Linked DNA regions of Rattus norvegicus. The protein of the gene in region 2 interacts with the protein of the main gene of each other region in a pairwise test. Links are inferred from orthologs where the notes say so. Each region holds a gene or a part of one and is shown on either strand. Other genes may lie near its edges. The genes, in order: Sp2, Banp and Foxm1.

Region 1 (3,646 bases), on a different chromosome or scaffold from region 2:
AGTATACATATCTAGCCTGTTATGGCCCCAGAGCTACTCCATAAGGAAAGAAAAAACAGACCAGTTTTCCCTGTTCCATCTGCTTTCTACAGAGGGAACTATGTCTACTTGGCCTAAGACCTGAAGAGATCTCAGGGCAGAAGCCATTTCCTGCCACCCCAAATGATGGTGACTCCAGCTTCCCATCAGATCTGCTGCTGATCTGCCTCTGTTTCAAAAGCAAGCCAAAGGGGTGAGCAGAGAGGGAGGGAAGGGAGAGGGGCTGTGGTACCTGGGTTGGTGTTGGTTCAGTTGTCTGGATCTGAAAGTTCTGGGAGGGCTTCTGGGGAACGGTGGGGAGGGTGGCAGAGGCAGCCTGCACCACCCGCAGTGCCTGCTGGGGGATCTGGACCACCTGTTGCTGCTCGGCCTTGGGTGGCACCACCTGGACTTGCTGGACCACAGCGGGCTGGCCCCCACCAGGGCTCTGGACGATCAGCAGGTTGTTTCCTGCCTGGATGATGTTCTCTGCTGTGGTCTCGATCAGTACCGTCTCCACCTGTTCAGCCACAGCTACTGAGGGCTGTGACACAGGAAGGCTCTTCTTCCTAGCTTTTTTGTTAGTCTTAGACAGTGGGGTCGGGGGGCTCTCAGTGAGGAGCTGAGCAGGGGCCCCAATATCGCTGGTGTTCACCAGGTTGTTGAGTGGCAGGGTGAGCGTCATGTTGCCACCCCCACCTGTCAGTTTCACCACGTTGGCCCCGCTCTGCACAGGGGTGGTGGTCGTATTTGATTTCTGGACAGGAGCTGGCTTGATGGGGACAGGCTTATGACCGGATGTTGACGGGGTGATGATGGCTTGGTTGGTGCCTGGGATGATCTGGATCTGGTTGGTGAGATTGGGCTGCACCTGGATGGTCTGGGAACTGTTCCCTTGAATCTGAGGGACTTGGTACTGGATACTTGCATTTGATCGGCTCCCTTTGTTGATCAGAGTGGGGTTCTGGATCGCAAACACAAACTGCCCTCCAGGGTAGGAGGCGCTCAGCTGGGAGCCCTGAATCTGAAGTATATTTCCTTTAGATGACAAGATGCTAAAGCTATTCTTGCAGGGACTGAGAGGGAGAGGGGCGGGTTTGATAGGGACCAGTTTCCTTGGGGTAGGTTGGGGGGGAGCAGGAGGTGTCACTGCAGCTTCAACAGCTGGGGGGCCAATTTTGCTACATGTTGCAGCAAGCAGAGCCAAGGGAGACGGCTGGGAGTCCTGCAAAAATCAGCAGAAGTAAGGAGTGAGATGAGTCCACTAGCTAGATTTGTCATCCTCTCTTCTCAGCAGCTCCCCAACCCTATGAGTTCTTCCCCACCCCTGTGGCAAACTAACACGCATGCACACACACACACACACACACACACACACGCACGCACGCAGTAGCCCTGGACATGACAGACCAACAGCATAGGCTGTTCTCCCACAGGCCTTGCTGGCCCAGTGTTGGCAGGGATAGGTACACACCCAGGCATCAGATGTCTACCAACTCAGCACAGGGAGGGAGAGCATATGAACTCGCTCTCGTAAGGGGTTTCTGGTTGTGTTCTGGAGTGTGTTGAATCCACGTATGTGTGTGAAGGACATAGGTATATCTGAGTCAGTGTGTGTGGAGGCCAGAGCCTAAGGTTAAATTCTTTTTTTCTTTTTCTTTTTTTTTTTTTTTTTGGTCTTTTTTTCGGAGCTGGGGACCGAACCCAGGGCCTTGTGCTTCCTAGGCAAGCGCTCTACCACTGAGCTAAATCCCCAGCCCCTTCTTTCTTTTTTTTTAAATCTCCCAGTTTATTGAGTCATTCTTTTTTTTCCTTTTTTTTCTTTTTGTAATTTATTATATATAAGTACACTGTAGCTATCTTCAGACACACCAGAAGAGAGCATTAGATCTCATTACAGATGGTTGTGAGCCACCATGTGGTTGCTGGGATTTGAACTCAGGACCTTTGGAGGAGCACTCAGTGCTCTTAACCACTGAGCCATCTCTCCAGTCCCTAAGGTTAAATTCTTACTCTATGACTCTACCCTGTTTGCGAAATTGTTTATTTATGTATTTGGGTGTTTTGCCTACGTGTGTGTCTATGTATCACTCAAGTACTTGTACTTGATGCTCTCAGAGGCCAGAGAGGGCATCAGATCACTTGATAATGGAGTCTGAGTTGCCATATCAAACCCGGTCCTCTGGAAAAGCAGCCAGTGCTCTTAAGCCACTGAGCGTCTCTCCATCTCCCTTACTTTAATTTTTGAGGCAGGGTCTCCTACTGAATCTTAAACTTACTGACTGGGCAAGACTAGTTGACCAGTGCACCTCAGTGGCGGCTCTGTGTCTGCCTCTCTGGTGCTAGGATTACAGGTGTGTACTACCAAGCCCAGCTCAGCTTTGACATGGGTACTTGGGCTTGAACTCAGGTACTCATCAATGTGCAGCAAAGACTCTATTAACAGCCGTGGCCCCGGCCACCAGGGGCCAAGTCTAACACTGCTCATTTTGCCTGATTAGTTCAGAAATGAGAATAAGCAAATCTCCCTGGGTGTCTGCAGGACAGGTCTGAGTGAGCTAGAAAACCCACTTCAGTAACCCACCCAGGCTCTGGCCCTGCCTCAGAGCCCACTGTGCACTTGCCTGGGTAGCAGCGGCAGCAGGCTGCAGGTAGTCACTGGGACTGACAGCAGCAGTGGCGGCCATGCTCATCTGTGAATCTGTCGGGAGAAAGATGGAGCGATATAAAAACAAACACCTGAAGAGAAACCAAGGCCCCTTGCCTCAGCTTTTTTTTTTTTTTTTTGCCTCTGTTGCTGCTTTTCCAACAGGTTAACAGCATTTCCTGCAAGGCCCTGGGCTTTCTAGCATCTAGCATCACAGCCCGGGGTTTGTCTGGGTGACTTCTGCTTTGCTTACACTCATCCATTCAGGCCAGGCCTGCCTTCTCACATTGTCCCCACAAGTGTCTAAGACTGGGAAAACTGGGAGACTCCTGTGTCAGGACTGGCTGTGGTGAGTCCAGAGTGCCCCCTGGTGGACACTGGTAGCCCTCTGATTCTGAATCTCCTCCTGGGGCAGAGCCTCTAGCCAAGTCTTGTGCTAAGGCTACCAGCTCAATCCAGCTGAAGCTAAAAGCAAACTAGTCTGGGAGTGAGGAAAGGCTAGGCCAGCATTCCTGAGCAGCAGGACACTCCTGTCCTATTCTAAAGGCTGTCTGCACAACCTTCACACCCAGACACAAGGGCCCCTAGGAACCAGTAGATGGCAAATCCTTTAAGTCGGCAGTTCTCAACCTATGGGCCAGGACCCATTTGGCAAGCCTCTCTCTCCAAAAGTATTTACGTTGCACTTCGTGACAGTAGCAACGTAAAGGCTGTGGAGTGGCAGACAAAAATAATTTAATGTCCAGGGATTCCCACAACATGAGGACTGTATTAAAGGGTCACAGCGTCAGGAAGGTGAGAAGCACTGCTTTAGGTGGATTTACACCTTTACACAGAACAACTGATATGATACGAACTGATATGTAGGTCACAGACTACACAGCCAACAACTACACACAAGAATGAACAGTGAGGGCTGGAGGGATGGCTCAGTGGTTAGAGCACTGACTGCTCTCCCAGAGGTCCTGAGTTCAAATCCCA
Region 2 (3,646 bases):
AGCAGCAACCTCTGTGAGAGCCTGCACTGCGGACTGCACCAGGCTTGGACCACACAGAGGAAGGGGAGCTGCCAGTGCCAGCAAGGTGTGCAGAGGAGGAGGGAGACTTCACATGGTACAGAACCGGACTGTTGAGTCTTCTGCTCCTACCACGGTCACCTGCCCTTGCCGGGCCGAGATCAGAGGAGCCCACACATTCTGACTTTAGGAGTTCAGAGTGAACAGAAGCTCCATGCCTCTGCCAGACCTGTATGCTTCTCGACAAGGGTTCCTAGTTCTAGGAATGTCAGTCACAGTCCAAGTTCAGTATCTACCAGGGAGGCTGGTGGGACTGAGAGGGACAGGACTCACCTGCGTTGCAGCCGTGTGGTCACTCACGGGCGCCAGCTGGACATACTGAACCTGAATGTCACTGCCCTGGAGAGGCGACCCATCTACTCCTGTAGCTGCAGGGTCTGAAGAGGCCACGGCTATGAGCTGAGCACCCTGCAGTACCTGGGGTTGGGGACAAAGCCAGGTTGGTCAGTGGAGCTTGGGTCAGCAGACCCCTATCCTCTTCTGGTTCAGAAGCAATAAGAGGCCCAGGCCCACAGCATGGATGTGAATGCAATGGAGCCTCAGTGCCCACTGCAGACACACCCACCTGACGTGCTGAGTTTTGACTGTCATGAAATCTGCCACATTCACACTTAGTCTTGCAGAAACACCCTTGTTACACACAGACATTAGTCTTTTAAAGCCCGTGTGGAAACCAATAAGCTAGAACTTGAAGACTGCACAGGCACACTGAAGACAGCGGGAGAGCTTAACAAACCCCGCACAGAGCCCATGTGGAGCCAATAACTTTAGATAGAGAAACAAAAGGAGAGGGAGGGCTGCAGTAGGTGTACTGCTTGTGTGCCAGCATGAGGACTTGCGCCTGGATCTTCGGTATCCACACACAAATCAGGAGCAGCTGGGTAACCCCAACCAGGAAGACTGCTGGAGGTGGATCACGGCCAGCCTAGCCAAACAGTGAGCTGCAGGTTCAGTGAGAAACCCTCAGGAAAAATAAGGTGAAGAGAGATGAGGACACCATCCACAAACACGTGCGCGCACACACACACGCACGCACGCACTCGGACACACACACACACGCACTCGGACACACGCACACAAAGAAGAAAGAAGGGAAGAGCTACTGTGGCAGGGACAGTGAGGGGCAAACAGGCTCCAAGGGGAGGGTGTGAGCAGAGACACCAGGGGCAGGTCACTACAGAACAGATCCTTCAGTCCTCTTTGCTGCATCCCTCCATCGTCCTGACCCTGCCTGACAGTGACCCTGCCTCAGAATGGATGTGGAGTAGGAGGAATAAGCTTGGGTGACTCCAGCTCTGGAAATCCATCCCACTGATTCACTTCCCACAAACTCCACCTGCTGCTCACACGACCGGGCAGGAGGCTCGAGGCAGGCAATACAGAGCCTCCATCTGCGCACTCACAGGTGCCCTTCAATCAGCCTTGGGTACTGCCCTAGGTGGGAAGGCCAGGGCGCCCAGACGTGCAACCCCAACAGTGGACAGAACCCCAGCAGTGGACAGAACTGCTGGGTAGGAAGCACATTTGGCATGGAGAGGACCACGTGAGGTTCCCCACAACCAGAGACAGCAGTACAAACTCACCCAGACAACTTCTAAGAAGAGCTGTACTTGTAAACAGCTAGCTTGACTGTCAGATGACATGTGCCCTTTTAAAGGACACACTGTAAATAAGGACAGTGTCTCTTATGCTAATGAGGGTCTGCCAAACCAAAATAGACCCAGGTTCACAGGCACTGGGAAAATATTTTTAATGACTTTAAAGTCCTTTTTAATATTTTTGAATAACTAAAAAAAAGTGAGACAACTATTTGGGGATGTGACTGCCGACTCATGCTGGATTCTAATAAGGAGAACTCCCAGCATTCCTCTGGGAAGCAGTCTATCTACCTCCTTCCTGGGGAGTGCAGTGGCTTCTGGGTCAATCTCACTTCCAGTGTGATTCCCCTCATCTATGGAGGCCTGACAGCCAAGAGACAACAGCAACAATAACAGCCTGTCTCTGCACAACTCTGGCCCTCAAGACACACCTCTCGAGCTGCTTATGGCTGCTCTTCTCTATGTCAACATGTGGGGATAGGAGGAAAGTTTCCTGGGCCTCACAGGAACCACACATTGGTCAGCTACCCCATGGGCCATGGTGATAGGCAGTGGGATGTTCAAAAACAGGGGAGCCAGTCCTCAGCCCTCTCTAGGTGCTCAATCCAGGTTAACTAAAGGAAGAAGGGTGTGCAGACACACATCTGGGAACTGGTTTCCAGGCAAGCTCAGAACTCAACATAAACACTTGCCTGCTGCTTCTATCCCAGATACCTCAGCGTCCCCTATTCCACACCCACTCTGGCACAGCTACTGCACAATGCCACTGGCCACTCCCTCCCTCTGCAGAGGAAAGCAGGGCAACAGATGCTGAGTTGCCCACAGCTGGCTGACAATAATGACTCCTTGTTTAGATAAAGCATGGCTCCTTCCAGCAGGAAAAGCCTGAAACAGGGTAAAATGATCCAATCTTATAAGCATCAGTGACAGAAGCCTCTAGATTCCTCCTTCACTCACTCTGACTTGCAGGCAAGTTCGTTATTTTTGCTAAGAACTACATTTCTCCAGGCATGGTGCTCTCCCTCATCTGACCAAGCAGTTCAACTTGAAACAAAACGGGGGATTTTACAGTCAGGAGACGGTAAACCGAGCTCCTGCTTGGGGACAGCCCTTGGTGGCAGACTTGGATGGAGCCCGGCTCTTCCAGACTCTCCATTGTATATGCTGGCCTGGGCCTTTCCTGGGTAGCCAGCGCAGCTTGGGACCTCTCCTCCCCTGCATTGCTCACCCAGCAGTCTTCCTGGTCTCCCTACTCAGCAGCTCCTGTGGATCTTAGTGGGTCCCATGGGCTCCTATGATAACCCTACAGGCTACCAAAGCCATCTCTAAGGACCAGTGAACACTTCCCTCCAGCACCTGAGTCACAGGAGCTTCCTGGTCTCACTGCCAGAACTTGGGCTCAAGCAGACAGGACAGTATCTATGGCCCACTGGTGCCTGTCTCCCCTGACCTACCCAGGGCCATCCACCAGGGTAACCCAGGTAGAGGCAAAGGGGGGCTCTCCACACGTTCCTTGAACAGCAGAATCAGCAGGCTTCAGAAGGAAGGAAAGGATACAAACACTAGAACTGCTCCAACGGCAGAATGACCCTGTGTCCAAGAGTGAAAGGCTCCATGGGGTAAGGGCTCTGAGCTCAACAGATGGGCCTGACTTGATGGCCATTCATCAAGCCATATGTCTTCATATGCCATCAACTGTTACAAGTATGCCTATACATGTCTTCAGACACCTGTGGTCATAGATGTGCACATGCACACATCTGTAAGTAAGGCACATGCCTGTTCACAGACACCTTATCAGCTCTGCTAACCCCTACCATGCACCTCTACTATGATGTCTCTGGCTGGCAAAGCAAGCTCTTAGCCTCAGGCCTCTGTAGGTATCCAGCATTGACAGTGGCAGTTACTGTGGCAGCCTCTGTAAGCCTGGGCTCAGTGTGTGGCACTGTCTAACCTGCGGTAGGCTCTGT
Region 3 (3,746 bases), on a different chromosome or scaffold from region 2:
TTGAATAGGAAGGGGCAGCCTCCGTCTCTTGAGAATCAGTGGCCGCCGGGGGCTGGTTCTCATCATGAAGCTGTGCTTTCACTCTCCATCGAGAATCACAAGCTTTGACCCTGCAGAGGGCAAGGAGAAGCTTGCTATCAGATCTGCTGGGCTGAGACAAACTGGAAGTGTTCCTCTGCATGAACAGACAGAAGCAGAAGCTCAAAGGCCCAGGGGAATCCTGCCTGGACCTTTGTCCAACCCTCAGACAATAAGGACAGAAGCTAGGTTTGATGCACACTTGTGATCCCAGCACCTAGAAGGTTTAAGGTCACCCTTAGCCAGAGAGTGAATTCAAGGTCAGCATGGGCCACATGAGACCCTGTCTCAAAAACAAACGAGCAAACAAGAACAAACAAATAAAGCCCTATCACTGACCAAGGAAAGCTGAAAACTGCAGCAAACACTTCAAGATGGGAACATGGGACTGCACTGAAGTGCATGGTCCCCTGTAAGCTTAAGAATGTTTGGCCAGGCTGAGAATGTAGCTTAGTAATAGAGTGCTTGCTTAGCAAGGCCCTAAGTTCAGTTCCCAGTACTACAAAAAGGCAAACAAACTAGAAAGATTTGGGAGGGAGGGGAGGCTGGCAAGATGGCTCAATGACCGAAACCATCAGCTGCTAAGCCTGGCCACCTGCATTCAGTCCCCAGGACCACGATGGTGGGAAGAGAGAATCAGCTCCTGACTGTTACCCTCCAACCTCCATACATGTGCTGTGGCATGTGGGCAACCCTCCTCCCCAACCCCCGCCCCAGTAAAAATGCAAAAACCTCTTTTTGAATGTTTGGCCAGAGGAATACACATCTACAAGAATGTGGAAATACCAGCCACTGTCCACTAGAATGCAGGTCACTCTCGATGACTGTAGGGACGAATGAAAGACTCTACCCAAGCCATAGTCCTAGTGCCCTTTTCTTTCCGTCTCAAATAATGCAGCTGACCTACACGTCTGATTCTCCTGCCTCCACCTGCCAGAATCACAGGTGTGGCTACAATGCCAGGTTTAGGTAGTGGTAGGAATTGAACCTGGAGCTTTGTGAATGCTTGGTAAGCACACTACAATTAAAAACTCCAATCCTCTTGAATTAAAAATAATTTTTTTCAATAGTTGTCAATAACCACTGAGCCATCTCTCCAGTCCCATTCTTTCTTTCAAAATCTGCAAAGCATTTGCACAGTGACATTTTGGTACTTGAGAGTAACTATATTTTAGTTTTATAAGTATAATACTTGATTTTTCTGCTTCTAAAGACTGTAATACAGATCTTCTCCATACCAAAATGTGCTATCATTAATATGCTTAAGGTGGCTTTAATTTTTGAGATAGCGTCTCATGTAGCCCAGGCTGGTTTTGAACCACTGAGCCTTTGGCCCCCAATTTTCTAGGTGCTGAGATTACAGGCATTCACCACTATGCCTGGCTATGCTAAAGTCACTTTGAAATGCTAAGGAAGGAAGTCTTTAGAAAAAGCATTTCATAGGTTTTTATAGATAGATAGAATAATTTATCATTAAATTAAATCCTGCCACTCCATTTTGCAATCCTGCGAGAAAGGGAGAAACAGCCGGCACTTTAGGAAACCTTCCAAAAAGTAATTACACTTTTTTGACATTTGCCAGCTGCTTAGCCTTCTTAGGTCCCTTCCTCCCTGTAGCTTTCTCTCCTTTATACTTCGTTCTCTCGACCTTCAAATCTCAGTTCTCGTTTTGCTTCACACTGCACCCACCCCAATCAAATGGTAGACACCCCCCACCATAGGGTACCTCTCTCTTTGACCAGCCTTTTCCTAACACTCCCAAAATCTTCTAGCGCAAGGCGACTTGCAGAGCCATCCCCAAAGACCCCATTCTCCACACAGAACCGGGAACCTTGCAACGCTCAGCTAGGATCCCACCCTGCAGCTGTGGAGGCGGAGGCAGGGTTGACTGCAAGTGCAGACTCAGAGGGCAGGCCTGTTCCCAGGGTCCCGGGGTGCTCGGAGAACGCGGCGGGAAAGCCGAGGCCGGCGGCTCAGACTTTCTTCCTGGCGGTCCTCAACACCCCCTCGCGCCCCACAGCCCCGGCAGTCCCGACTCCAAGCCCTCCCCGGACCGGGTCGCACCCCACTCACCTCACAGGCCACCGCTGCTCCACGCGGGGCCGAGCCAGGCCAGGGCGGGCGGGTCCCGGCGGGACGGCCGGGGTGGGAACCCGGGGCGGGGTGGGGGGTGAGCCCGGGCCGGGGGTGGGTCCCGCAGCGCCGCTTTCAGTTGTTCCGCTGTTTGAAATTGGCGCCGGCGGAGCGTTGCGGTCACGTGACGGAGCGTCGCCAATCGGCACCGGCTTGTCTCCGGGTTCCGGCCCCGAACGCTCGGCGTCCTGAGGAGCGGCGGCCGCGGCCGGGAGGGCGGGTAAGGGGGCCCCGGAGCTCGAGGGACGGCGGGAGGGACGCGGGGACGCGCGGACCGCGGCCAGCAGCCTGCTCCGCCCCGCCCCGGACCGCCCTGCCTCCGTGGTCGACTTCCTTCCGGGGCAGCGTACGCCACTCCCCCGGTTAGCTACCCACTGGGCTACCTCTGGATCCACCGCGCGGCTCAGCCCTCGTTGCTGCGTGGGGTCCAGCTTGGGTTTCTGTCCCCAGACTTGCGGTTAAGTGCCCTACGCCCCGCCCCTGTCTGTGGCCGCCTCCACCTCGGGCCCAGCCCCGAGGTGTCCGGACGATCTTTTTTCCATACTTTACGAAAGAGTGGAAGGTACAGTGGCAGACCGGGCCGTCCTTCCCCTGGGCTCACCGGTGGTCTGATGGAGAGGGAGCCCAGAATGAGATGAACAGATCGGTAGAATTCTAGCTACAGAGGAACAGGTTAGAGGCCGGTGGGTTTTGTCTGACCCCGGGTATCCCCATGTGTAGAATTCTCGATTCTCGTGTTTCCGCCTTCGGAGTAGCCCGGGTCACTGGCTCGCCCTCCCGCAGCCGCCAGTGATAAATTTGAGTATTTATTTTAACGAGAAAATCTTGACTTAGGGCAGGAAAGCCTTTCTTTTTCCTTTCTTTCTTCCTCTCTTTTTCCTTCCTTCCTTCCTTCCTTCCTTCCTTCCTTCCTTCCTTCCTTCCTTCCTTCCTTCCTTCCTTATGAGCTGAGAACAAGGTGTAAGATCTGTCACCCATTACACAGAAGGGAAGGAAACATTGAAGCAGCTAGATTAAGAAGGGAGATGTTTGGGGCTGGGGATTTAGCTCAGTGGTAGAGCGCTTGCCTAGGAAGCACAAGGCCCTGGGTTCGGTCCCCAGCTCCGAAAAAAAGACCAAAAAAAAAAAAAAAAAGAAGGGAGATGTTTTGACTGGAGGAGGCTAGGCTGGTGAACACAAAGGCTGAAGGTCACAGGGATTTGAACTAAGACTTAGGGGGCGTGGTATGCTATGAGATGGGGAGCAGATAAAGACTGTGTTTGAGAGGTGAACAGGTTAGAGGCTGGTGGGTTTTCACTGACACCAGAATGTGGTGGCTCACGCCTTTAATCCCAGCACCCAGGAGGCAGAAGCAGGCGGATCTCTGTGAATTCCAGGCCAGCCAGGTATTCATAGCCAGCCCCAGGCTAGCCAAGGCTACATAGTAAGACTCTATCTCAAAATTAAAAAAAAAAAAAAAAGGCCAAGATTGTGCAAAACCTGACTTAGATTTTGTTTGGGTAAGTATATAAGAGCTTATCTAGATTAGACAGAGA

Evidence for each region.
Region 1: the proteins of Banp (region 2) and Sp2 interact in binary tests that used the Homo sapiens proteins (3 or more experiments, as listed by UniProt). The two-hybrid records come from large-scale screens. The link is inferred for Rattus norvegicus from reciprocal best matches to the Homo sapiens genes BANP and SP2.
Region 3: the proteins of Banp (region 2) and Foxm1 interact in binary tests that used the Homo sapiens proteins (3 or more experiments, as listed by UniProt). The link is inferred for Rattus norvegicus from reciprocal best matches to the Homo sapiens genes BANP and FOXM1.

What each region holds. Positions count from the first base shown.
Region 1 is NC_086028.1:82,444,479-82,448,124, forward strand, and holds part of Sp2 (transcription factor Sp2), read right to left. Parts: exon of another isoform or gene 2,831-3,646; intron 2,720-2,830; coding exon 2,643-2,719; intron 1,244-2,642; coding exon 272-1,243; intron 233-271; exon of another isoform or gene 93-232; intron 1-92. UniProt on the Homo sapiens protein: Binds to GC box promoters elements and selectively activates mRNA synthesis from genes that contain functional recognition sites.
Region 2 is NC_086037.1:66,985,874-66,989,519, reverse strand, and holds part of Banp (protein BANP), read right to left. Parts: intron 496-3,646; coding exon 352-495; intron 1-351. UniProt on the Homo sapiens protein: Controls V(D)J recombination during T-cell development by repressing T-cell receptor (TCR) beta enhancer function. Binds to scaffold/matrix attachment region beta (S/MARbeta), an ATC-rich DNA sequence located upstream of the TCR beta enhancer.
Region 3 is NC_086022.1:163,324,195-163,327,940, reverse strand, and holds the start of Foxm1 (forkhead box protein M1), read right to left. Parts: upstream 2,314-3,746; 5' UTR 2,152-2,313; intron 111-2,151; 5' UTR 67-110; coding exon 1-66. UniProt on the Homo sapiens protein: Transcription factor regulating the expression of cell cycle genes essential for DNA replication and mitosis. Plays a role in the control of cell proliferation. Also plays a role in DNA break repair, participating in the DNA damage checkpoint response.